Astyanax mexicanus: one gene and its partners. The protein of the gene in region 2 purifies or fractionates together with the protein of the main gene of each other region. This does not show direct contact. Links are inferred from orthologs where the notes say so. Each region holds a gene or a part of one and is shown on either strand. Other genes may lie near its edges. The genes, in order: park7, prdx5 and sod1.

Region 1 (8,677 bases), on a different chromosome or scaffold from region 2:
GACCCTACACAGATTAAAATTCTTATGTCTTATTCAGATTTACCTCGTTACCCTTAGGGGTGTGCCATATCGTATCATACACGATAATATCGCCAACATTTTTGAACATTGTGAATGATAGTATACCCTGAAATATCGCACCATATCACTCACCCCTAATTATCACATCATGGTACTACTTTTTGCTGTTTTATCAAAAAAAATAAAGAAATAAATAACTGTTCTCTTTTAACATTATATATCTACAAGAAACAGATTATATCTGTCCAGTATAATTTATTTTACTTTAGTCCTGGATATATGGAGATATATTTGGAGTGCATTTTTAGTACATTAACATTCTGGATCATTGTGTTCTGTTACATATTTGATAAAATTCTCAGTTTAAATCTCAGTTAGGGGTGTGCCATAGCATATGCATTAATACAATAATTTTTTAATTTTGTTTCAGTGGTGTATTCTTGAAACATTTTATTTTTTTTAACGCAGTGTTTTGTTATATCACCAGGAGTATCGTTATCGTGAAAATACCATGAAATATCGCGATATTATTTTAGGACCATATCACCCACCACTAGTTACCCTTATAAATGCTTCTGATCATTTTGAATCGTCATTTCACATTAAACCACTGCAAGTTAATTTTTTGTTTACAGCTATGTGATCCACTTATATAGAGGTATTAAAAAGAGTGAAATTCCATTTGAAAATCTCAAACATTATCATTAGTAAATGCAATACTGTCCAGAGTACAGTACAATGGATTACAATGGAATTTAAGAAATTCGTACCTGTTTAGAGGCTTCCTCTAGACTTGAATCTGGGCAGATAAGGACGTCCCGGCTGCACTGGACTGGTTCCTTCCCTGTTAATCCTGCCACTGTAACAGCAATCTGTGAGACAGTAAAAGAGGTAGAAGCATAAACATATTTATATATATATAACAGTGAACAGTATTTTGTCATGCCTCAATAACCGTGACTTCAGAGAGTGCACAGTTGTAGCGCAGAAAAAGGGCAAAAGGGTCTAAAAGTTGCCGTAATTAAGGAGTTTAATATTAAGAGACATCATGAAATGAAAGAACAATTTGAAAAATCTTAGTTTACACAACACTGTCAAAGATAGATAAAGATAGTAAGTCAAGTAAAATGGTGTGTAAATGAAAGTAATCAGGAAAATTTATTATTTAAAGTGGTATATTTCATTATTTGTTTTATTACAGAGTCTGTGGCCTGTGACTTCACATATATTTCTCCTTCTGGCCCCCAACAAAAAAAGTTTGGACACCCCTGTATTAAATGATTAATTCAAATTGTGTTGTCTTTAAAAAGTGTATAATTGCTTTTTTTATGCTATTCTGTTATGTCAGGGGCATTTAATAGTCTTAAAATTACAAAAATATCGTGTAGCGCAATAATTTCTGTGAATTCTTATCGTGACCGGCCTATTTGTAATTTTAAATTGTGTTGAACGCAAGTGCTTTGTGAGACTGATCCTCTTATATAATATCTATCTGCCCATGGACTGCAAATGACAATTAGCCAATTAATGTGTATTGTCTTTGATACTTAAATAATACAGTAAAATTAAAGTAAACACTGAGTGTCAAGTGCAAAGCCTTTCTGGATGCATGGAACTGCAGAAAAGTTTGTGTCAAAGACTGTTAATATCCTTGATTAATACCCTGAAGAGCCCTTCATGCTTATTTATATGTAGTTTAATGAAGGAGGCTAAGTTGCACTGTAAATGAAAGCCTATCTCACCATGACAGCAGCAGCAGCAAACTTTGACATTTAGCTACACTCCACTCCTCTTCCACACTCTGCCAACTGTCCAGAGTACATACAGTCAGTCTGTGAGCCAGAAACTGACAGACATGGGTCTGTTTTTGTGACCTGATACATTTTATATTGGACACACGCTTGTCTTTCTTCTAGTATCTAGGTTAAGATGGTCTATGCTGGCATTTGATGGTCAAAATGGTTGAAATACGGTTGATCCAGTCTAAAATACACTCTATTATGGTAAGCAAATTGGTTAAACAGCATTGTCTATGCAGTAAGCACTATTTGATTTCTTATGGACATACTTGGGCTTCATGTTGGCATTCAGGTTGACCAGCTAGGTCTTCAAATAACAGGGGTGTAACAATGCATCGCAATGGAAAAAGAAAATATTATGTGCATCACAGGAACAGACGATTCCTTGTTCTGTTACTATGAAATCTCATGCAGTTGCATTGACTGAACACCTCTGGTGCAGGCCAGAGAGCCAGTGGGCGTAAGCAAAGGGCAGAGGACATGTCAATCATTTTAGACTGAAGCCAATCACAAAGCCAGAATTGGTTAGTCAATGATTATTATTGCTATGCCATGCCGTCCACTCTTTTAAAAAAGGTGGAACATTTGATGTGGGCACAGCTTTGCACAGTCAGGTTTATGAGATAGAGTCACCTGGAATTTAGGCTTTTAAGTAAAGTTAACAGCTGTTTAAGTAATGTTCTAATTCATATTATGAGAAGCAGGAACTACTCAACTAAGAAAAGACTTGCTTAAAAATGGCTTCAAGAAGAAATGAAGGTAAGTCAATTTGAAATATTTCAAGAACTTATTCTCAAGAAAATATCCTCAAGTGCAGTCGTTGCAAAGACTATTAAAAATGTTATGATGATGGAAGTGGCACTCATCAGGACCATCCCAGGAAAGGAATAGCAAGAGTTAATCAGAGTTACCAGCCTGAGAAACTGCAAGTTAACAGCTACCTTAATAATAAATAGTCCAGCCAAATGCTTCACAGAGTATTTTGGTTTGTGGAAATGTTCCGTTCCACCTTAAATGGTGTTACGTTCTGGGTTAAATGGTGAACGTAACCGCTTCACCATTTAAGGTGGAACGGGAAAAAATCCTATACAAAGCCTTTATTTATGTTTATCACTTTTGACACAATCCAAATATTTTTATTAAAGCTTATTCACTTATATTGCACTTAAATAATCAGTTTAAATATTCTTGCAGTGGCTATTCCCCACTTGTGTTAGCACCCAGTGCTATTAGACAGCCCTGACAGCTAAGCTAAGCTAAGCTAAGCTAAGCTTCTACTAACCCCAGCTCTCCGCATCACATCTACAGGTATAACCGTCTCCATCTCCTCTGCGCCCTTCGACAGAATCACCAGAGCCCGTTTAGCAGCCATGCTTCAGCAGAGCAGTCTCCCCTACAGAGAACAGAGCAAAGAAGTGGGCTGAAGCTTCTCTAAACAAAATAAAAGTCCTGTCTTCCGGGAGAATGGAAAAACACATGGGCAAGACAAAAGTCCCTCAGATGTTTGAGGTTAATAGTAGAAATTAGGCCCAATATTCTACTATACAAATGCTAGTTAATACGGGTTTTAAACAATATTTATCATGTCCTAATACTCCCAACGTTAAAAAAAAAACTATAAAATTGTAACAGCAGTACAATAACCCTGTTAATGACCTTATATATAAAAGATTCAAAATTCAGACGGGCTCCTGTACTTTTTGCTCTGGAGAGACAGAATCTATACATTTATTTGTTAAATGTTATTATAGTAAGCTATTTTGGTCTGACATCCGTAGTTGGTTGTCGATTAAAATGACTGATATACCTAATTTGACGTATAATGACATAATTTATCATATGGCAACTTGAATGGAGACATTTCAGATTCAGTTTACTCTATACATAATTTCGCCATTTTTTTTCAAGTCACTAGAACATTTTAAGAAATTATTTTGCTTTTTTTTTATTTGACGAGTGCTTTCTTAATTATTATTATTATTATTATTATTATTATTATTATTATTATTATTATTATTATTATTATTATTATTATTATTATTATAGGTTAATTTAAAGGTTGTAACATATATATATTATTTCTCTTTTAATACAGGGAAGATGAGTCCTGTGGTTTATTTCCGACCACCAGACCACCAAAAATCTGACCACCAGAGTGCAGTGCAGGCTATGATATAAAACAGGTCCTGCTTTCAAATCAGTTCTAAATGAATTGGCAGTATTTAAAACTGTGGTTTATGAACTGTAGGCTTACTGTTTAGTTAACTTTAAGATTTAAATCAATCAGTAAATCACATTATGATGAAATTCTTATGAACTTCTTCTAATTATTTTTAGATCCTTGGAGAGCCTTGACATTTAAAATAAGGCATTAATACCTTGAAAAGTTGAAAAAAGTGCACAAGAAGCCCAAAAAAACACTGTATACATCGCATAATGCTAGCTTCAGCTCCGAGCGCTGCCATCACTGTACTGATAATGACAGACATATATATACATATACTCTGCATAGCGTAGCAGCCGGTTCCAGGAGGCAGGCTATGAATGTATATATATATATATATACTACAGTGATGGCAGCACTCTGAGCTGCTTCTTGTGCACTTTTTAATTATTAATGCCACATTTTAAATGTTAGGGCTTTCCGGATTCTACCAAGGAGGTATAGAGCCGAAATATGCCCCGATACGGCTCTTGTACAGAGTGCTGGAAACTGTAGGAAGCTGTAGGAGAGCGGTGGTGGGCAGTGGGAGTTCTCCTTTAAAGTACAATAGAGTATCTTTCAGTGAGGTCTTTTTTGTACATGTTTTTTTTATACCAGTAAAGATTAGAGTGCTGGGGAAAAGCACAAAATTACCAGCGCTCAGAAAGCTGTAGGAGAGCGGTGGTGGTTTATCATGTTTTACTACACCTAAAGTCAATTTTACACTGGAGTTCTCCTTTAATATAAGGTACAGCCCCATCGACAAGCTTTTAAGTGCAAATCTGTACTTATTTTTCTTAGTGTGAATGTGTATATCGGATACCTATAGTGCTTTATACCGAATATGCCGATACATGCAACATCACAAAAACAGTAAATTTAGACACAATTAGCACTCAATCATATAAATAAAAAAATATATATAATATTCATCCAGTATTTCTGAATGTTCAAAAAGAAACTTCCTCACTCCTTCTCTCTGTAAAATTGTAGAGGCACCTTTCCCATGTTTAGCATGGCTCTGCACGCTTCACACACACACACACACACACACAGACAGACAGATGCTCAGTCGCCCATATAGGCACCAGACCACAGTGCTATACAGCAGCAGATTAGACCGAAGCGTGGGGTTCTGGCAGCGGCCTGCTCACACTGTGCCCGTGCCCAAATCCAGCAGGCAGCAGCGATTTACCAGCATATGCAGCTGGGATCTCTGCGAGCCCACCGCGCCGCTCCACATCAGCTCATTTCCCTAAACATAGGCTTTATTTATTTATTTCTGCCCCCTCCACCCCACCCTGCCTTTATATAAGGAGCTTATAGTATGCAAAACGCCTATTAAAGTTGCTTGTAAACCAGGTAACCTGTGAAGGCCCCGGATTAGGCTGCGAAACACTGACGATGCAAATTCACCCGCTGAACCATCTGCGCAGGACGGCGGCGTGGAATTAGCCACAGCAGATGCATCCACCACGTACACTCAACTTTGTCTTGGCTGCTGCGGCGCTGGTTATGATGCACAGGCACTTTCCAAGGCCAAGCAGAGACAGTAGTGAGCATCTGAAATGAGTTTCAGGTTTTTTTTTTTTACTAGTGAGGCCTACCTGTATTTAGTACAGTATGTATTTTACCAATTTCACAACTTCCTCCTACTGGTGTTGTCTCGATACAAAAATATGACTTCTGATTGGATACCTGCTAAAACCAACAGGGTTTTGGAATGGTACATGTTTATACTTCTCATCCAACCACAATCAGATTCACTATACAAAAACATACTTAAAAAATATGTTCATGACCTGGCTGCCCTGTGGAGATGGCAAAATCCTACATATATAAAATTGTATCAAAAACTGTAGAAAATATATAAATAACTTCTGATTATGTGGAGATTACCATTCCTCTATATTTGTAATAATGTGCTCATGTGCTGTTCATTTGCATCCCTGGACACTTGGCACTTTACTGTACACTCTGTACCTTTTCACTCCTGGACACTTTACTGTACATCTTGTACATTTGCACCCCTGGACACTTTGTCACTTTACTGTACATCCTGTACTTTTGCACTCCTGGACACTACACTACGCACCTTACTTAAATTCAATACTTGCACAGGTTTATGTTTAATATTGTCATATCTGCTGATACCTTCTATACTTAAATTATTATTTTACTGCACTACCTCATATCTATGACTGATTACTTTCACACTTTGTATAGTTTTTTTGTATTTATATATTTATGTATATATTTTTAAGTCTCAGTTTATAATTTTATAGTTTAGAGTCTTATATTCCTCACTGTGCTCTTTTATTTTATTTTATAATACTTATTGTTTGTTTCTACTGTGTACTGTTTGTTTCGACTGTGTTGTGTAACTGCTACTGGCTGCTAAATTTCCTTCGGGATCAATAAAGTATCTATCTATCTATCTATCTATCTATCTATCTATCTATCTATCTATCTATCTATCTATCTATCTATCTATCTATCTATCTATCTATCTATCTATCTATCTATCTATCTATCAATCATTCAGAGTCAAAGTTTTAAATTCTGAAAAAGGTAGTGTTACACAGTGTTTGTATGAAATTTAAACAATTATGCTAAGATAAAAAAGGCACATTATATTGATATTGACCCTGATATACAGTGTGGTGAAAGCTTGTATTGTTACTGTTGCACATGTAGTTAGCACAATGCTAAAGTGGTGCCTCAAAGCAGACATGTATACAATAGTAAAGACCCAGATCTGAGTAAAAAAAGTGTTCGATCAAAGAAGTTAAAGAGCTCTTTAAGCAACCACAACTAAGTGGAAGTACCTTTAAGTATACTGTAGAAAGTATATTTTTTTGTACTAAAGTATTCTAAAATGTACGAATAGTACTGTAGTACTGAATGTGAAAGTACAGTAATGTGTTATGTAGTTATTACAGAAAGTCAAATGTTTAAATATCATATTGCAGACAGACAGCAGCTTATAAGATCATGGCTTGATTCGCTCAGCTATGTAGATACAGATACATAATTTTAGTACTTAAGTACAGTAGTGAAGTAAAAATAATACTCCAGTAGATACAGATACAGTATTTAAGTACTTAAGTACAGTAGTGAAGTAAAAATAATACTCCAGTAGATACAGATACAGCATTCTAGTACTTAAGTACACAGTAGTGAAGTAAAAATAATACTCCAGTAGATACAGATACATCATTTTAGTAATTAAGTACAGTAGTGAAGCAAAAATAATACTCCAGTAGTTACAGATACAGCATTTTAGTACTTAAGTACACAGTAGTGAAGTAAAAATAATAGTTCAGTAGATACAGATAGAGCATTTTAGTAATTAAGTACAGTAGTGTAGTAAAAATAATACTCCAGTAGATACAGATACAGCATTTTAGTACTTAAGTACATAGTAGTAAAGTAAAAATAATACTCCAGTAGATACAGATACAGCATTTTATTACTTAAGTACAGTAGTGAAGTAAAAAAAAATACTCCAGTAGTTACAGATACAGCATTTTATTACTTAAGTACAGTAGTGAAGTAAAAATAATACTATAGTAGATACAGATACAGCATTTTAGTACTTAAGTACAGTAGTGAAGTAAAAAAATACTCCAGTAGTTACAGATACAGCATTTTATTACTTAAGTACAGTAGTGAAGTAAAAATAATACTATAGTAGATACAGATACAGTATTTAAGTACCTAAGTACAGTAGTGAAGTAAAAAATACTCCAGTAGATACAGATACAGCATTTTAGTACTTAAGTACAGTAGTGAATTAAAAATAATACTATAGTAGTTACAGATACAGCATTTTAGTACTTAAGTACATAGTAGTAAAGTAAAAATAATACTCCAGTAGATACAGATACAGCATTTTATTACTTAAGTACAGTAGTGAAGTAAAAAAAATACTCCAGTAGTTACAGATACAGCATTTTAGTACTTAAGTACAGTAGTGAAGTAAAAATAATACTATAGTAGATACAGATACAGCATTTTAGTACTTAAGTACAGTAGTGAAGTAAAAAAATACTCCAGTAGATACAGATACAGCATTTTAGTACTTAAGTACATAGTAGTAAAGTAAAAATAATACTCCAGTAGATACAGATACAGCATTTTAGTACCTAAGTACAGTAGTGAAGTAAAAAATACTCCAGTAGATACAGATACAGCATTTTAGTACTTAAGTACAGTAGTGAATTAAAAATAATACTATAGTAGTTACAGATACAGCATTTTAGTACTTAAGTACATAGTAGTAAAGTAAAAATAATACTCCAGTAGATACAGATACAGCATTTTATTACTTAAGTACAGTAGTGAAGTAAAAAAAATACTCCAGTAGTTACAGATACAGCATTTTAGTACTTAAGTACAGTAGTGAAGTAAAAATAATACTATAGTAGATACAGATACAGCATTTTAGTACTTAAGTACAGTAGTGAAGTAAAAAAATACTCCAGTAGTTACAGATACAGCATTTTATTACTTAAGTACAGTAGTGAAGTAAAAAATACTCCAGTAGTTACAGATACAGCATTTTATTACTTAAGTACAGTAGTGAAGTAAAAATAATACTATAGTAGATACAGATACAGCATTTTAGTACTTAAGTACAGTAGTGAAGTAA
Region 2 (8,202 bases):
AAGTTACTGCAATTGGAGCTCGAGGGTTTTGGCCGTTGTTAAGGATGGAGAGTTTTATCTTGTTCAGAGGAAATAAACGCGTTGCAGTGAAAGAAGACGATATGACAACAGAAAAAGTCACCGCGGTCACTCCTCTGCACTTAGAAAACGCTCAGTCGCGCTGTCTACTCCGAAAACTAAATTGCGCGTCTAAACCGTGTTTACGGTAGCCGCGTGCACAGCGCACCCGGAGGAGCAGAGGCTCGCGCTTCTCCTGCAGAGATTTAAAATAGAACATAAACAAGTTTTACATCTATATAAACATGACCAGGTCTAATTAACTTAACTCAGATATACCAGAAAGACTGCTGCCTATTTGTAGAACAGTGTAACATTTTGAAAATGTTTGGAGTGCTATTAAATAGGCAATTATTATATCACAGCACTAAATTCTTAAAGACTTCATTCTCATGTCTACCAGATATATGTTTCAAGTGATATTACTGTATCATTTTCGAGTAATTGGATACCAAACTTTATATATTGGTTTATGCACAATCGAATAGACATTTTTCCTAAGTTTGGTATCCAATTACTCGAGAATGATACAGTAATATTATGAGATTGTATAACAGTAGGACTGCAAAATTAGCTTTATGCACCACTGAACAGACAATTTTCTAAGTTTGACATCACATACATCACTCTACAATAAGATAGTGATATCACTTGATACTTATAAAATTAATAGAATGGAATGTTTCCTTAAAAGTGCAATAACAATTTGATTTGCTGGTTTTGTAGGACTCTGAAATCTGGTTTATGCACATACAATTAGACATTTTTTTTTTCTAAATTTGGTATCCAATTACTCCAGTGGAATCTTAAATCAACCAATAATCCCAGTCATTAGAATGTCCTTCAAAGCTAAAAGTGGTGGGGTGGTGTTTGTCAATAACTAGGCAGTGTGTGTGCCACACAATTTTGTTACATTTTGGAACTAAAGAAGCTTCAAATTTGACAGAATTTTAGACAAAAAATAAATGTGTTTTTCTGTAATAGTGAATCTTTTGTAAGCAAAACGCAAAGCAATTCATTTCATTTCTTCACAATTGATCCAACAGCACTCACTGCTGCCTGTCTCAGATTTACAATCTGGCCAATAGTACTTGATTTAAGGATGATGTATTTACAGAAAACGTGTTTTTTTATTATTATTATTATTTTTTTGCCACCCAGTATATTCTAACATAAGACTTTGTTTTCAACATTTACGTGTAGAATGAGTTACACTGCTCTGTGAGTTATTACCAGAGACTGTAAAAAAGATGGACGCCGTGTCTCCGTTCCCATTCATTCAATGAAAATGAAGCCAAAATCTTCCGCCATGTTGGCGATCCTGCCACCTGATTCTGCGCAGTAGAGACCAGAGGAGGGAGAAAGACTGTGGAGAGCAGCCTACTCATTTAAATAACCCCGCCCCCGAGGGCTGCCTCGCGGTCACAGACTGCAGAGCGGGGCGGAGCGGAGCTGACGGTCTGTTATTGGTCCCGCCCATAACCAGCCCTTTTACCATAACCACACGTTTTTTGAATAGAGCTGAATAATGTTTTAAAAACCAAATTCTGTGGGGATATAAAAAATTGACAATATAAGCAGAGGTTACACTAGCTGCTGCATTTAAATAATGGAGGTAGAATTACAGAATATTAGAAAAAAACGTGATTGAATGTTGTCTGTTTTGCCATTGAAACCTATGGGAATGGGTGGAGTTACACAGCTTTCTGCAGCCGAACAGCAGGGGGCGCCCGACCTGTGGTGGCTTCACTTTTAAGAGACGATGCTCTGTCCAGCTATATACAGTCTATGGTTATTACCCTTAACTTGGACTTGGATTGGCTGTTTTTCTGTGGGACTTGCAGACAGGCCTTTTGGTTAGCTGTTTTTTTGTATGTCCAGCTGACAGGCATTCTGGTTCGCTGTTTTTGGGACTAGCTGCCTAAATCTATGATTGGCTGTTTTTTTCTGTAGGTCTAGCTGACAGGATATCTGATTGGCGTTTTTTATCTGTGGAACTAGCTGACGGGCTAGATCTATGACTTGCTTTTTCTTATATGTCCAGGTGACTGACAATCTGATTGGCTGTTCGTTTTCCATGGGACCAGAGCCATAGAGAGAGAGTCGCGACAACGGAAGTTCAAAATCCTTGATGGTCACGTGATTCATGGAGATTTCAGATAGTTCCAGGAAGTTCTTGGTGGGCAATTTGAGCCCATAAACACAGAGATTGCGATTTTGGGGCACTAATAATAATATATAAATAATCCTCAATGAATTATCTATGTATAATGAAATAATATATATATATATATATATATATATATATTATTTCATTATACATAGATAATTCATTGAGGATTATTGTGACCATATATTGACTTATTTAAGGCTTATGTTATTCTGTGTGAATCCAATATTGTAATCCATAAGAGAGTTTTTATAGGCTAAATTTGTATGTTAATTAATATTAATTTCATGACACCGTGCAAATGCAGTCGCTACAAGTAAAATTTTACTTTACAAGTAAAATTTTAGGTTCAAAAGAAGATGGAGAAGTTTTGGCTTGCATATATTTAGAGTTTACTGCAAAAATAACTTAATCAAAGGATACAAAGATCTGCAAATATTCTTAAGTCACCACCTGAATATTTCATGCAGAATTATTTGGATTAAGAAAGAGGAACCACATTATTTGCAACAGCTTTATTATTTTTACAACAAACATGAGATGATATATAACTTTAAAGACTGATATCAGAATATAGAGAGGCTACATATAGAAAAACAAAGTACAGAACACATGTAAATCAACTAAAGGAAAATAGTACATTGCACATGTAAATAAACCAAAGAATCACCACAGATTACATAAAATGGGGTTTACTTGTGTAGTTCGGAAGAATGAACCCTGAGGAATACAAAAGCAGAAAGAGAATAAGAAAATTGAGACATGATTGCATTTAATACATGAATACAATTAAACATTTTGGAAACATTATCTACATTTTACTATTATTATTTTTATTTAATATAAAATGAAGACAAGAAAGATGATTGTATTAAAGTTGTTATATTTTGTATTCATTATTTACTTATTTTATATTTATATAAAACAAACAATAACACACACTTATATTTATTGGGTTTGTTTTTGGCACACTATTACTAGTGTATCTCAGAAAACCTGAATATAATGATTTTTTTTTCTATCATAGTTTAATAAAAAAAATCTGTCAAATTTTATAATCACTACATATAAAGAGACATATCCCAAACTGTTTTTGTTTTACTTTTCTAAAAGCTCATGAAAAAAAAACAGAAATAATAAATCCCTAAAATATTTAATTTAAAACTTAAAATATAAATTGTTAGATGTGTCACTGTAAGCATAATTAATACAAAAGATGACTGTTAATTAAACAATATTAAACATTTCTTTTGAGATGCACTACTATTAAACATAACTAATTATGCTATCTTAAATTACACATGCATTGGAAAGTGTTTATCCTACTGTTGACAATATAGCCTATATCCTTAATCAAACATATATAATAAAATAAATATTGGTCATATCACCTTAAATCATATCTCTGTTAAATTAGTAGTTACTAAGACAAACAGTAAGATAGCTAGTTAGCGTTAGCTACCTGAGCAATAGGTAGCTATCATTTAGCTAAATTCTGCAGTACTACTTAGTACTTAGTTTCCACAGTAGTCTGTATTTATTAAGCATTTATCTCTTGTTAGTGTTTAAAATTCTTTCTGAAATGAATAGAGTTAAGCTTTATTTACCTAGCTAGTTAGGTTAGCATGGTCTACCTGGATATATAAGATATTTATTTAGTTAGCTTAGCATGGTCTATTTGGACATACAAGATATTTACAATATTTAGTTAGCTTAGCATGGTCTACCTGGATATATAAGATATTAAGATATTTAATTAGTTAAGCATGGTATATCTGGATATATAGGATATTGATATATTAGATATTAAGATATGTACTTAGTTAGGTTAGCATGGTCTATCTGAATATATAATATATTGATATATTAGATATTTACTTAGTTAGGTCAGCATTGTCTATCTGGATATATAAGATATTAAGATATTTAGGAATTTACAACTAATAGGCTCTCAGTCATTAATGTTAAATGCCAGTAACTGTATTCGCGTTGTCCTGGCATAGATTTACTCCCCTAAATCTGCTTTTTACTAAAATGCTTCAGTGCACATGTTAGTTTGTTTCTGATGTCCTGATAAAACACAATCAGATTATTTAAGCGTACTAACCTGTAAAAGTGGACCACACATGGTGTATCCTGCTCCAGCTTCACTGTGCTGATAGTATTTGCTGCTAACTTCCGGGAACTATTGACAGGCTCCACGGTCCGCCATTGCTGTAAAAAACTGGTCCATTGGAGTGAACGGAGTTGACGCAACTCTCTCTAGCTGTATAGGTCTATGATTGGCTGTGTTTTTCTGTAAGTTTAGCTGACAGAATATCTTATTGGCTATTTTTCTTGTATGTTTATGTAATTGTTTACCTGATTGGCGGTTGTCCTGTATATCTAGCTAACAGACGATCTGATAGGTTGTTTTTTTCTGCGGGACTAGCTGCCTAGCTCTCTGATTGGCTGTTTCTTCTGTCTGTTTAGTTGACAGGGTATCTTATTGGCTGTTTTTTCTGTGGGAATAACTGTCAGGTTTTTTGATTGGCTGTTTTTTCGTATGTCTAGTTGACAGGGTATCAGATTGGCTGTTTTGTTCTGTGGAAATAACTGTCAGTTTTTTTTAGATTGGCTGTTTATTCTGTTTGTCTAGCTGAGAGACTATCTGATTGGCTGGTTTCCTGTGGGGCTAATTGACTGACTGTCTGATTGGATGCTTTTCTGAGGGATGAGCTGACTGTCAGACTGGGTGTCAGACAGGCCTCTCCTTGCTCGTGTTTTCCGTTGTTTGCTCTTCATATAAAAGCAGATGATCACTCTTTCAGCTGTACTGAGAGGAAGCCGTGCAGTCAGCTGCATCAGAGCCCTTCACACCACACTCACTGTAAACATGCCGATCAAGGTAGGAGCAGTAATTTCCGTAATTATAACTAGTTAAGATGGGTAATAGGGCCTTAAAATAGCTGTGGAGGGACACATGACGATGGGCTTAGTGTGTGTTAGAGCTCCTGATGTGTTTATTTAGTTCAGAACTGAAATACTAGCGGCCATTCTGCCTGTGAGACGCATTTTTAATAGCTGTGCAGATGTGTTTTAATATTGCAGCTGATATTTTTAGAGATGGATGTGCTAGTCACCACGCTGTAGATTAGATTAGAGACAGGCCTGAGTGTAAATATATGTGATATATTCCTGTAACAGGTAATGTTAGCCTAGATATGACTGTCTGACCTGGATAGCTTTAGCTGCTAAAAGCTACATTCAACGATCATGTGAGTAACTATTTGTTTTATAAACGACATCTTTTATAACCCGTTTCATATCCAGCTATCTAAGCACAAACTGAGATCTAGCATGTTGTCTAATAACTTAATATCACGGATTATTTCAATTAAGCACAAAATAAACCACTTTATAGCCTTAAAAATATATAAGCAGAATCGGTCCATCGTCAACAAGCGTTTGTGTGCGTTCACAATAGCGACGTGTTGCTGTCAGAAACAGATGCGGCCTCAGCTAAGCCTTTTCTCCTGAGTGGAGTGGAGTGGGGGGCATTTAGACTCAGTTTTAGAGTCTAATAATGTCTTTGTGACAGGTTGGAGAGAGTCTACCAGCTGTGGAGGTCCAAGAAGGAGCCCCAGATAAGAAAGTGTCCATGGATCAGCTGTTTAAGGGGAAAAAGGGGGTCCTGTTTGCAGTGCCGGGGGCTTTTACTCCTGGATGCTCCAAGGTAACACAGACAAACACACAAGACCTCAACACACAGTGTGTCCAAAAACTGCAAAGACATCTCTTCTACTAAAAATATCCAACTATTTAAACCCATTGACCCCCTGCTATGTCAATCAGTTATTAATCCTAATGCAGAAAAAAATAAAATATTGGAGCATTCATTTGCAGAAAATGAGAAATGGCTGAATAAAAAAAAGATGCAGAGCTTTCGGACCTCAAATAATGCAAAGAAAACAATTTTAAGAGTTCAGAAATCAATGTTTGGTGGAATAACCCTGGTTTTTAATCACAGTTTTCATGCATCTTCGCATGTTTTCCTCCACCAGTCTCACACACTGCTTTTGGATAATTTATGCCACTCCTGGTGCAAAAATTCAAGAACTTTAGCTTGGTTTGATGGCTTGTGATCATACATCGTCCTCTTGATTAAATTTCAGAGTTTTTTAGTTTGGTAAAATCATAGAAAATCCTCATCATTAAGTGGTCTGGATTTTCCAGCTATGTATATCATTTTGCTTGTGGAATCCCACAGGATTTCATGCCAGTGCCTCTGAAATTGATGTTAATTATGACGGTAATGGCATTACATGCTACAGCATCTAAGATGTTAATAAGTCCATAATAAGTCCACCCCTATCCAATCCAAAAAATTATGAACAGCTAGAGGGTTATAATGCCCACCAACTTTTGGGATTTTAGTGAAACGTAGATTGATTACTTTTCGGATGCACTATTGTCATGTTTATGATCTAGAGCTAATTCAACATTAGTACCTACTTGACATTTTAAATATTTTTTTGTAATAATAATAATAATAGTATAAATCTTCAAACTAAATCACTTACCTAAAGACTTTAAAGTTTTACCGCAACTGGTTTGACAGTTCTTGAATTTTAAAGTTGAGGCTACAAAAACATTTAGACTAGAAAATCTTGTATGGGAATTCCATTTAAAATGTCCTACTTGGAACGCAGTAACTCTGACATCCCAGATCAAATCGATCACAGATCTATTTCAGAAGAAATGGTATTATCTGGATATTTAGGCTGTATGAAACTAAAGAAATGTTGCCTACTCAGACAAGAAGCTCCTCAGTCATGTCTGAATTGAAGTTCAATAATTGAACCTTCTGTTTTATTGTGTGAAAATGCTAATGAATAATGTCAAAACAGATAAAGCGTCATTACTTAAAAAGTCAGGACATATGGTTCCCAATTGGATTTGGATACAGAGACCCTTTTTACAACTAGCAAGACATTAAATCAGCATTTCTTGCATTTTAGAGACAGAAATAATGTCTTTTCTCTAGAACACTAATTAAAAAATACAGAATACATATATATGAAAACATTATAGTAATAGTCTTCAGTGTAACCATGTCGCTGTGGTTCTGACACATCCCCTGTCTCACCAGACTCACCTCCCGGGGTTTGTGGAGGAAGCTGGACAGCTGAAGAGTAAAGGCGTGCAGGAGGTGGCCTGCATATCTGTAAATGACGCTTTTGTCATGGCTGCATGGGGCAAGGAGCATGGCACTGATGGCAAGGTAAGTCAGGCAGCCAGGCAGGTTAAAATAATGAAAATCTAATGAGAACAATAGTCTGTTTAGTTTACTGTTGGATCCAGGGCAATTATGCATTATGACTCATTGCTGATGTCAGTTTCTCATAAGGAAACATGAATTAGTTGATGAGGAAACAGACGGTGGGTTATGAGATGCTGGAAGTGTTTTCTTTAACTACCAGTTGGCACACTGATTGCATTTAATGTTTCGTAAGCCATTTTTATCAGTCAGTTTCCTTGTGAAGTCTCCAATGTTTCTCAATTCCACCGCAGTTGTCCTAAAAAAAATAGACAATTGATGATTGAGTCATTGTGGTGAATGACTGTAGAGACAAGGAAGCTTTTAACAATAAAACTGACTATTTAAAACTTCTATTTTAAAACCCCTCTATTTTATTATAGGTACGAATGCTGGCAGATCCTACCGGCGCATTCACTGCGGTAAGAATGTTCATACTTTTGATATTCCGTCACTCAGATTTGTAATCAGTTCTGTTGACAGAAAAAATATTATGGAAACTCCCATGCATGTAACCCTTGCCAGCCCAGGATTGAGCAATAGGATTGTGTGGTTTGTTCTATATTAGCCACTTGTTCCTCATACTTGCAGCTTTATATCATGTATTGATGTCTAAATCAATTCTAACTGCTTCTTTCTACTTTTGCAGGCAGTTGATCTCTTTCTGGATAATGAT
Region 3 (8,666 bases), on a different chromosome or scaffold from region 2:
CTGAAACCAAGTGCAGATTTTACAGTGTGTCGGTATGCAAGTCAGGACATGTGCAACAATTGGCACTGTATAATCATGAAGAGCAGTACAAAGAAAGTAGGCTTTCTGTGGGTAAATACAAAGTACACATACCTGATTTCATCAGTAGGTCCACCATGGGTTTTGTTGTATGGGTTATAGTGTGGCCCAGCACTGATGCAACCTAACAGTAAAACAGCACGGTCATTACTGTTTGTGAGCATACTTCAAGCAACACATCACAGTGACATGATCTGATTTTGAAGTGAAAGTATTATTAAACATCTCAGTAATTGTAATTAAGCTTTTAATACATCAGAGGGTAAAAAAAAAAAACTCACCATTTGTGTTATCTCCAAAAGCATGGACGTGAAATCCGTGCAGGCCAGGAGTGAGGCCAGTGATCTCACCTGAAACCTTTACTGGAGCACCATCACCCTGAAACACCAGAGCACTTACTGTCAGTCTCTAACAAACACACGTTTTGTTACACATTTGCTACCTCTAGGAACAGAAATGTACAGGATGGCACAGTACTGTACATCTTTTGGCATGCATATGCAAAAGTGACCTTGCAGGACTGTGCAATACCAAACTAGCAAGCCCAGCTCTGTCCTGGGGTCCTCTGGATCCAGTGGAGGTGGTGAGAGACAGGAGATTGAGGTCTAAGTTTTAGTACATGCTAAAGAACCTGTCCCAAACCCATGCACCAGCAGTGTGTGAAGGAGAAATACTGCAAGTCCTTCCTCCCACACACCATCAGACTGTACAACACACCATGCTCTCAGTAAACACTCGTTTACTATTTTATTACTACATGAAAACTACTTGCTCAGTATAGCTGTATTGTGTGCAATGTGCAAATTCACCATGTGTACCATGTTCTCTTTATCACCATTTGTGCAATATGTTTACTGTGCAATATTTCTCACCTTTCATCTACTATTCATTTGCTATTTATTCACTGTTAGTCCTTGTGCAATAATACTGGTCACAATCTACCATAATCATAACTTATCTGACTTTATCTTATCTGCACTATATGTATATACTTAAAAAAAAAAAAAACACACATTTTATATATATATATATATATATATATATATATATATATATATATATATATATATATATATATATATATATATATATATAGATGATATCCCCGATATACATATCAAAGTATAGTCTGTTAAAATGAATGACAGAATTTATTGTGAAATATAGAAAAGTGCATTGTTTAAATTCATTAAAAACTATTTTATAAATTGTTAAACTGAGGGCACATTTTAAAGTCTCTAAATTGATAACCTAACTAAGCTAATGTTAACTACTCACAGCTTTGTAGCTACAACTGTGACATGGTTTTATTGATAGATAGAAGATGAATACTAGCTCCTATATAGTTAGATAATCCACCCTTAATATATATATATATATATATATATATATATATATATATATATATATATATATATATCAGTTAAACAATTATAAAGAGTAGGGGTGTGTCATATTGTATCATTCACAATTATATCGCCAACATTTTTGAATATCGTAAACGTTATTATACCTGGAAATATCGTGCCGTATCACCCACCTCTTATCACATTAGGGTAGTACTTTTAAAGAAACATTCACACTGTTCTCATTGTTCATTATATGTATCTACTAGAGACAGATAATATCTGTCCAGTATCATTTAATTTACTTTAGTCCTGGATATATGGAGATATCTGGAGTGCATAAATAGTACAATGACAATGAGATTTGATAGAATTCTTGTATTTTTATTTTGTATCGTTATCGAGAATAAAAAAAATACCACGAAATACCGTGATATTATTTAATAAAACGAGTTATACGCAATGCTCCAGCTCTAGGCTGTTTAGTTTGTGCATGTTCAACTTGCAAACTCGTTTTTTTGGATGAATTAACCGCACGATGCAAATGACTCAGCAAGAAGTTTGGACTTGGGTCTGCGGCCGTGCAGAGGTTAACTCCCTTTTACCCAGTTTAAACTCTGATCTGGTGATTATGCCTTTTCCCCACACAGCTATTACTTATTACTACACTTATCCAACAGTAGTTAGTCGAGCTAATACTATGATACATGTAACGTTAGGTAATTAGCAGTGCTATGTTTAATGACGAGGAGCATAAACTGTAACCTAACCTAGTTGATTTAACTAGAACTAAATATATAAACCATAGTTTTCCCGTGTTTGTGACTAAAGTGAGATTTATGGAGCAGGAGATTTAGCTTGCATTAACACACAGAAAGGTGCAGCAGGATTAGCAAGGTCTGTATGAAATGCCGCTGCGCTCGTTACAAAACACTTAGCAAACCACACAGCATAGCTGCTAACCACGGGGCTCGCTAGCGGAGGAGGAGCAGAGCTACACCGGTGTTCTGTCAAGTTATGCTACCCATCGAGATATGCTTCCTAAAGGCACTGCGCATGCGCTGACCTACACCATTTAATTATTTCTTCTGTTTTTTCTTTATAATGAATAATTTTTTGTGCGGTAAACAATCTGGCCTCGCTAGCATTGCACAAAAGCGCAAAATTAAATCGACAATAATAATAAATACAATTTACTATTATTGAAAAAGAAAATACAAAAGCAGTTTGTAAAGACCTCTCATTGACATAACTTTAACATGATACAGTGATTTATTCTGTTCAAATATACTAACCCGCATCTAACTTACTGAGAGATCTGCTGGGAACGTTCTCTAAAATTGTTCTTTTTTTGTATTTTTTCCAGTTAAATATAACTTACACTAAGGTAGCGCGGTTTTGACATGGTAGCATAACTCGACAGAACACCGGATACTGTCCTTATATGAGCTAAAAACGTCAACAAATCAGGTTTGGTGATTAAAAAACCTGCAGGACGCGCTCTAAAGCACTAAAGACCCGGGTATTATCTAACATGTTAGTTAGCATTAGCTAGTAACCCAGCTGAAGCAGTGCACACCGCTCGGAGTCTGCGGGCTCGCGCCGAGTTGACACAGCAACTCAGCAGGTTAGCTAGCACAGCCAGCTCGCGCACTCCTGCACAGAAAAGTGTAAAACACCGCAATTATTCATCTACCTGCTCAAAGAACACCGTTCCGGTCACCTCTCCGGTCCCCTTCAGCACACACACAGCCTTATGCACCATGTTTATCAGAGCTCTGTAGAACTGACCCTCTGAACTGAGCTCAAAAACCCGACTCACCGCCCAGCGCTGTTTGATAAGGCGAGAAGCGACGTACTTCTCTCCAGCCAATCACAACCGCGGATCGCAGCGGGGCAGCTGATTGGCTAAGAGGCCAGGCATAAATTAGACCGGTGATGATGATTGGCTAGAAGCTCAAGCGAAAAGATAGCGCGTCGACTGCTAGCTCATATAATCTGATAAAAAAATTATTATTTTAAATCAGATTTTTTTAGGGAAGGCATAATTATATATTAAAATAACATAAATAACATACATTCTGTAAAAAGAACAATGAGCAAATAAACGAATGAATAAATACATAATACATGTGTATCTCCAAAAATTAGAATATCATTGAAAAGTTACTTTATTTCAGTAATTAGTTAAAAATGTGAAACTCATTTATTATATAGATGTATTACACACAGAATTATATATTTTAAGCGTTCTTTTATTGTTGATTATTATGGCTTAATTAGTGTCTCAAATGATTATAATTAGAATATTATACAAACCCTTTGGTTTTGGCAGTGTGGGCCATGTGCCAAGTCCTGCTTAAAAGTGAAACCCACATCTGATGGTTTGAAGAGTCGTAGTCTTCTGCTAGTGTTGGTCCACTGTGTTATATCAAGTCCAAAGTCAGTGCAGCTTTACAAACAAATTTAGGATTAATTATTTTCCATTAACAACACTGATAAATACAACCTGACTACAACAAAATAAATGCAGTGCAGATTTCACTCTTTTTTTAATTATGAACGGACCTGAACAAATCCCTTGTCTTAAGTAACTATTATTTGTACAAAACTCTGCATGTATTTGTCCACTATTTTAATATGTAATTTTCAGATCCAGAATCTTCTCTAAACTCTGGTTAAACTGTCTTAAATAAACATTTGGTGTAATAACTTACTATTAAAGAGTTTTTAGAGGTTCAGAAGTCTAGATAATTTTACTTGGCATAGCATGATTTCCTTATTAGGAATTTGTTAATATATCACATCTTAGCTGTAAAAAAAAAACAATAAAAGCAAATATCGATCGATTTTTTGACAAATTTTATTCAAAACAAATAAATAATTAGTGTGAAAATGATAAAGATCTGATATAGGTCTGACGTACAGCAGAAAGTAGACTGCTTACAGTTTTAACAAGACCAGATTAACCAGTTTCTGCTGTGTGTGCTAGACTGGCTAATCCAAAACATTACATGAATGTAATGTTAGCATTACCATTAGCTACTTTAGAGAGCAATATCAAATGTTTCAGCACTGCAGGTGTTATTTTATTATTTTTAATGCTTTTAAACGGCAGTTATAAACCTTTTAAACTTGCTATTCAGGCTGTATCTCCAGCTTCAGCTCACTAACCACAGTAGCTGTAATGCTAACACCTTTACTGCTTAAAACCTGATTAATTTTCAAAATTGTGATTGGTTATTATTTTAAGCTGATTTTAGCCAATTAACTTAATTCACACCCTTTCAACAATTTAGACTCACTCATGGGTATTCTGCTGTCATTTCTGATATAACAGGTGATACAAGACGTGAGCAGGCTCTCTATAAACTGACTGATTCTACCCAACAACGGAATAGTGGTTAAACTTGTTCCCTTTTTCATCAGTTAGCATTTCCTCTTATTATTACCTTTAAAAGTCATCACTTCCCTCATTTATATTCACATTGTTGCTGTCAAACAAAAACTTAGGATCTCCATTTTTTTTCTCTACTTGTTGTATTTACTTTTTTTTTAATCTTTTCACTGAGTCACACGGTCATGATATAAAGACCAATTCAAATTCTCCAAAATTACCTGAAATAAAAAATCTTTTTACACTGACCTTCAGTTATGAAGATTTGTCTTCTCCTTAAGAGTTACAGTATCTGACAAGTGAGTGTCAAGTAGTCAAAATAACTCAACACACAGCAACTAATATCTAAAGCGCCGGCAACAAAAGTGAGTACAAGTGAAACTGACCAAATTGTTTCCAATGAACCATTTTCTATCCCAATGTCATGTGAGAAGTTAGTTTCACAAGGTGTCAGGTGTGAATGGAGAGCGGGAGTGTTAAATTTAGGTTTTAATCACCGTCACACTCTCTCATACTGGTTACTGGAAGTTCAACATGGCACCTCATGACAAAGAACTATGAGAATGGCCTGGGAAATAATAAGATTGCCAACGCTTTGAAATTTAAATTGCAGCTTGGTGGCTAAAACCATAGAGCAGTTTAACTGGAGAGGATCGACTCAAGTGTCGACCAAAGAAGTTGAGTTCACATGTTCAGCGTAATATCCAGAGGTTGGCTTTTGAAAAGAGACATACAAGTTCTGCCAGCACTGCTGCAGAGGTTAAAAAGGGGGGGAGGGGGGGGGGGGGGGGGTCAGCCTGTCAATGCTCGCTTTGTGAAATACTGCAGCATTTGGATGAACATAGTTTACATCATTTAATAACTAATAAGTTTAGTTTTGTATCAAGTGCACTGTTAATGGTCTGCCTTTACGTATAATTTCTGTTAATAACAACAGGCACTCATTTACTGCCTTCTAATATAGCACAAGTAAATAAAAGGAAAGAATTTGTGCTGGTGAAACATTTGCACGACAAATACATCTACTGAAGGTCACTATAACCCCATCCTACTCAACACAAATTTGCTATGAAGACAAACAACACAGAATATGCTAGGTGGTGGTTCAAACTCATGCAATTACTTATTTTTCAGGAACAAAAATATATGAAAATTGACTCATCTGTGGAAAAAAAGATTTAAAAAATCATCACTTTCATTTACTGTTTGTCAAAATTTCTGAATACTCTAAAAATGTAATGTAAATAATTCAAAAGTATGTCACAATGTAAGAAAATAAGTTTCGTAATATGCATGTAGTAAATCAAATTTACACATCGCCAGAGAACATACAGTCCACACAAAATGAAAAATTCAGATGAGGAAATCATTCAGTTAAAGAACCTTAAAACTAAAGCATCTGAAAAAACAAGTGCTTAGTCAGTTTGTTCATTTTGGTATGAAAATAGTTTATTAAAACCAAATCCCTATTGCTGAAATATTAAACAAGTTCACATCTCCACAAACTTAAAAATTATACAAACATCTCATTTTCGCACGATGTAAACATGGCAAGTTAAAAACATTACAGCAAAAGGGTCTTTGTCTCTTATTTTAGTCAAGGTTTCCTATCTTCTCCATGTTCATGGGGAATACTTCAAAAACACACCTTACCTCCAAATCTACAAAGGTCATTTGAGTAGTGGAAGCATATTTACAGCAGATTATTTCCTTCTTAAATTTTTACCCCCATGTGTTTCTTTTTCTTTCTTTTTTTTAATTTACCTTTTTAGAATGACTGGTGCACACTCTAGACTTAGAGTATATCTGCACTGAATATTTTTTGTATTTTCCTTGGGTCCTACCCCTCTGATTTAACTTGTTAACCAATAAACAAGTTGTTTATTAATCTACAAATGTGTGTGAGCAGAAAAAAAAAACAAATAGAGCAGTGCAAGGGTGGTCCAGGATCAGGACTGGGAAACACTGGTTTAAAGCAACATTCAAGCTCCACAATGGAACACTGATTACAGAGCAGTGCTCCATGTTAGCCAGACTCTTAAAAGTCAATTACAGGATCATTGATTTTGACATTTTAGAAGGGGGACAAGGCATATAATTTATTTCTATAGGACCACAAACCATATAAATCAAGTTGTTTCTGCATCGTTTCACCTCTTTAGCCTGTAGTGTCCAAGATTAGCCAGGACATGGATGTAAAATAAACATACTATCTACATGGCTTTTACCCGATGTTCTTCTACCTTAAATATCTGGCCTTTATTTTCAGGTTTGAACCCATGTGATGCTTGATACTCATGTCTTTCCATTACCATTCTAAATGGTGTTTAGGCAAATGTTCACACAAACATGTGCATCTTGTCAAGTAAGAAAACAAAAAGAACAAATATCATATGGGCATTGCAGTCCAGGGGATAAGCGTAGCCTATGATTCGTCTGTCTTTGTTTGTTCTGCAGGTTGGTTCTGAGTTTCTGCTGCCGGTTCAGAGGGCTGTGGTTCTGCAGTCACTTCGGTGGGAGGGGGCGGAGCTTCTGCCTTGGCTTGAGTAAGTTCTTTAGCAGAGTCTCTAGACTGCTCCGAGCTGCTAGAGTCTCCGAGCGCCTCATGTCCGTTGGGTTGACTGCCTGCGTTGGACTGAGTGCCCATATTAGCCAGTCTGTCAAGTCTGTCATCCTTGTCCCAGCGGGTACTTCGCTCTCGCGTTCCCGATTCCCTGTCTCTGCGTTTGGGTCGCTCCTCACCCTCCCTACCTTGCTCTCGTCCTTGTTCCCTCTCTCCGTCCGGACTCCTTCTCCAGTCTCTGCGCTCCCGTGTCCTGTCCCACCCACCCCTCTGCTCTGCCTCCTCGTTCCAGCTCCCGAAGCGTTCCCGCCCTTCCAACTTGTCCCCTCCACGGCCCTCGCCAAACGACCTGCGTCCACCAAACCATTCCTGATCCCTGTCTCGCTCCCGGGCCGGCCCGGAATGCTCACCCCTGAAGGGCCGTCCCTCAGGATCTTCAGGTCCGTCTGGTCCTCTGGGGCCAGTAGGCCTCATGAACGGAGGCCCTGGGTGAGGAAAAGGGCCTCGCATGACATGTGGAGGGGGATGCATGCCAAATCCACTTGGTGGAGGCTCTCGATGATGCATCATCTGAGGAGGGCCCCTGGGAGCCATCATCTGTGGAGGCATGGGGGGCATGCCTGGCCGTGGAGCCATGGGGAAACGCTGAAGGTGTGGAGGGGGCATCCCTGGGGGACGTTGGAGAGGCATCATACCTGGTCTTGAACCCAAGAGCCCTGGTGGACTCTGCATGTTCATCCCTGTCAGAACAAAAAAAGTTAATAAACATTTTAATAACGTTTTAATATGGCCATAAATACAGGCATCCAGACTAGGGGTGGGCAATATTATATTGTATACAATATATCGTAACAAAAAATATCGTTATATTAAAAAAACATATCGTGATAGAGATTTTTTGTCCTAAAAGTAGTCTATTTTATTTTAGAGCCATATCGCCCACCCCCTATCCAGACACAATTCTACCAGTACTACTAGACACCTACCTTGCATGGCACTGAATCCTTCAGCTCCTTCCCTGTTCATCCTGGAGCCTGGATCATTAGGCTGTTCCTCTCCTGAGCCGCCAACTGCAGTAGAAAGACACAAGAAAGTTTGAATAATAATAATAATAATAATCTAATAATCTACTGCTGCTGGAAAACTACTGCAAGTGTCTTAATACTAACTAACAGACCTAACTAAATATAATGTAATATGTAATGCATGTAATTCAGATACTCAAAAATACACAATCAAAAGATCCACTCGTGACTGGACTGACCTGATGGCATGCCCATGC

Evidence for each region.
Region 1: the proteins of prdx5 (region 2) and park7 fractionate together in Homo sapiens (co-fractionation; 3 studies listed by BioGRID). This does not show direct contact. The link is inferred for Astyanax mexicanus from reciprocal best matches to the Homo sapiens genes PRDX5 and PARK7.
Region 3: the proteins of prdx5 (region 2) and sod1 fractionate together in Homo sapiens (co-fractionation; 3 studies listed by BioGRID and IntAct, with this or other methods). This does not show direct contact. The link is inferred for Astyanax mexicanus from reciprocal best matches to the Homo sapiens genes PRDX5 and SOD1.

The regions. Positions count from the first base shown.
Region 1 is NC_064431.1:4,261,719-4,270,395, forward strand, and holds the start of park7 (Parkinson disease protein 7 homolog), read right to left. Parts: upstream 3,265-8,677; 5' UTR 3,193-3,264; coding exon 3,103-3,192; intron 894-3,102; coding exon 792-893; intron 1-791. UniProt on the Homo sapiens protein: Multifunctional protein with controversial molecular function which plays an important role in cell protection against oxidative stress and cell death acting as oxidative stress sensor and redox-sensitive chaperone and protease.
Region 2 is NC_064424.1:15,663,171-15,671,372, forward strand, and holds the start of prdx5 (peroxiredoxin-5, mitochondrial), read left to right. Parts: upstream 1-4,937; 5' UTR 4,938-5,021; coding exon 5,022-5,114; intron 5,115-5,807; coding exon 5,808-5,942; intron 5,943-7,358; coding exon 7,359-7,490; intron 7,491-7,909; coding exon 7,910-7,948; intron 7,949-8,175; coding exon 8,176-8,202. UniProt on the Homo sapiens protein: Thiol-specific peroxidase that catalyzes the reduction of hydrogen peroxide and organic hydroperoxides to water and alcohols, respectively.
Region 3 is NC_064427.1:36,970,210-36,978,875, forward strand, and holds the start of sod1 (superoxide dismutase [Cu-Zn]), read right to left. Parts: upstream 3,286-8,666; 5' UTR 3,190-3,285; coding exon 3,121-3,189; intron 457-3,120; coding exon 360-456; intron 203-359; coding exon 133-202; intron 1-132. Other genes in the region: scaf4a (SR-related and CTD-associated factor 4), read right to left, coding at 7,247-8,124, 8,371-8,454, 8,649-8,666. UniProt on the Homo sapiens protein: Destroys radicals which are normally produced within the cells and which are toxic to biological systems.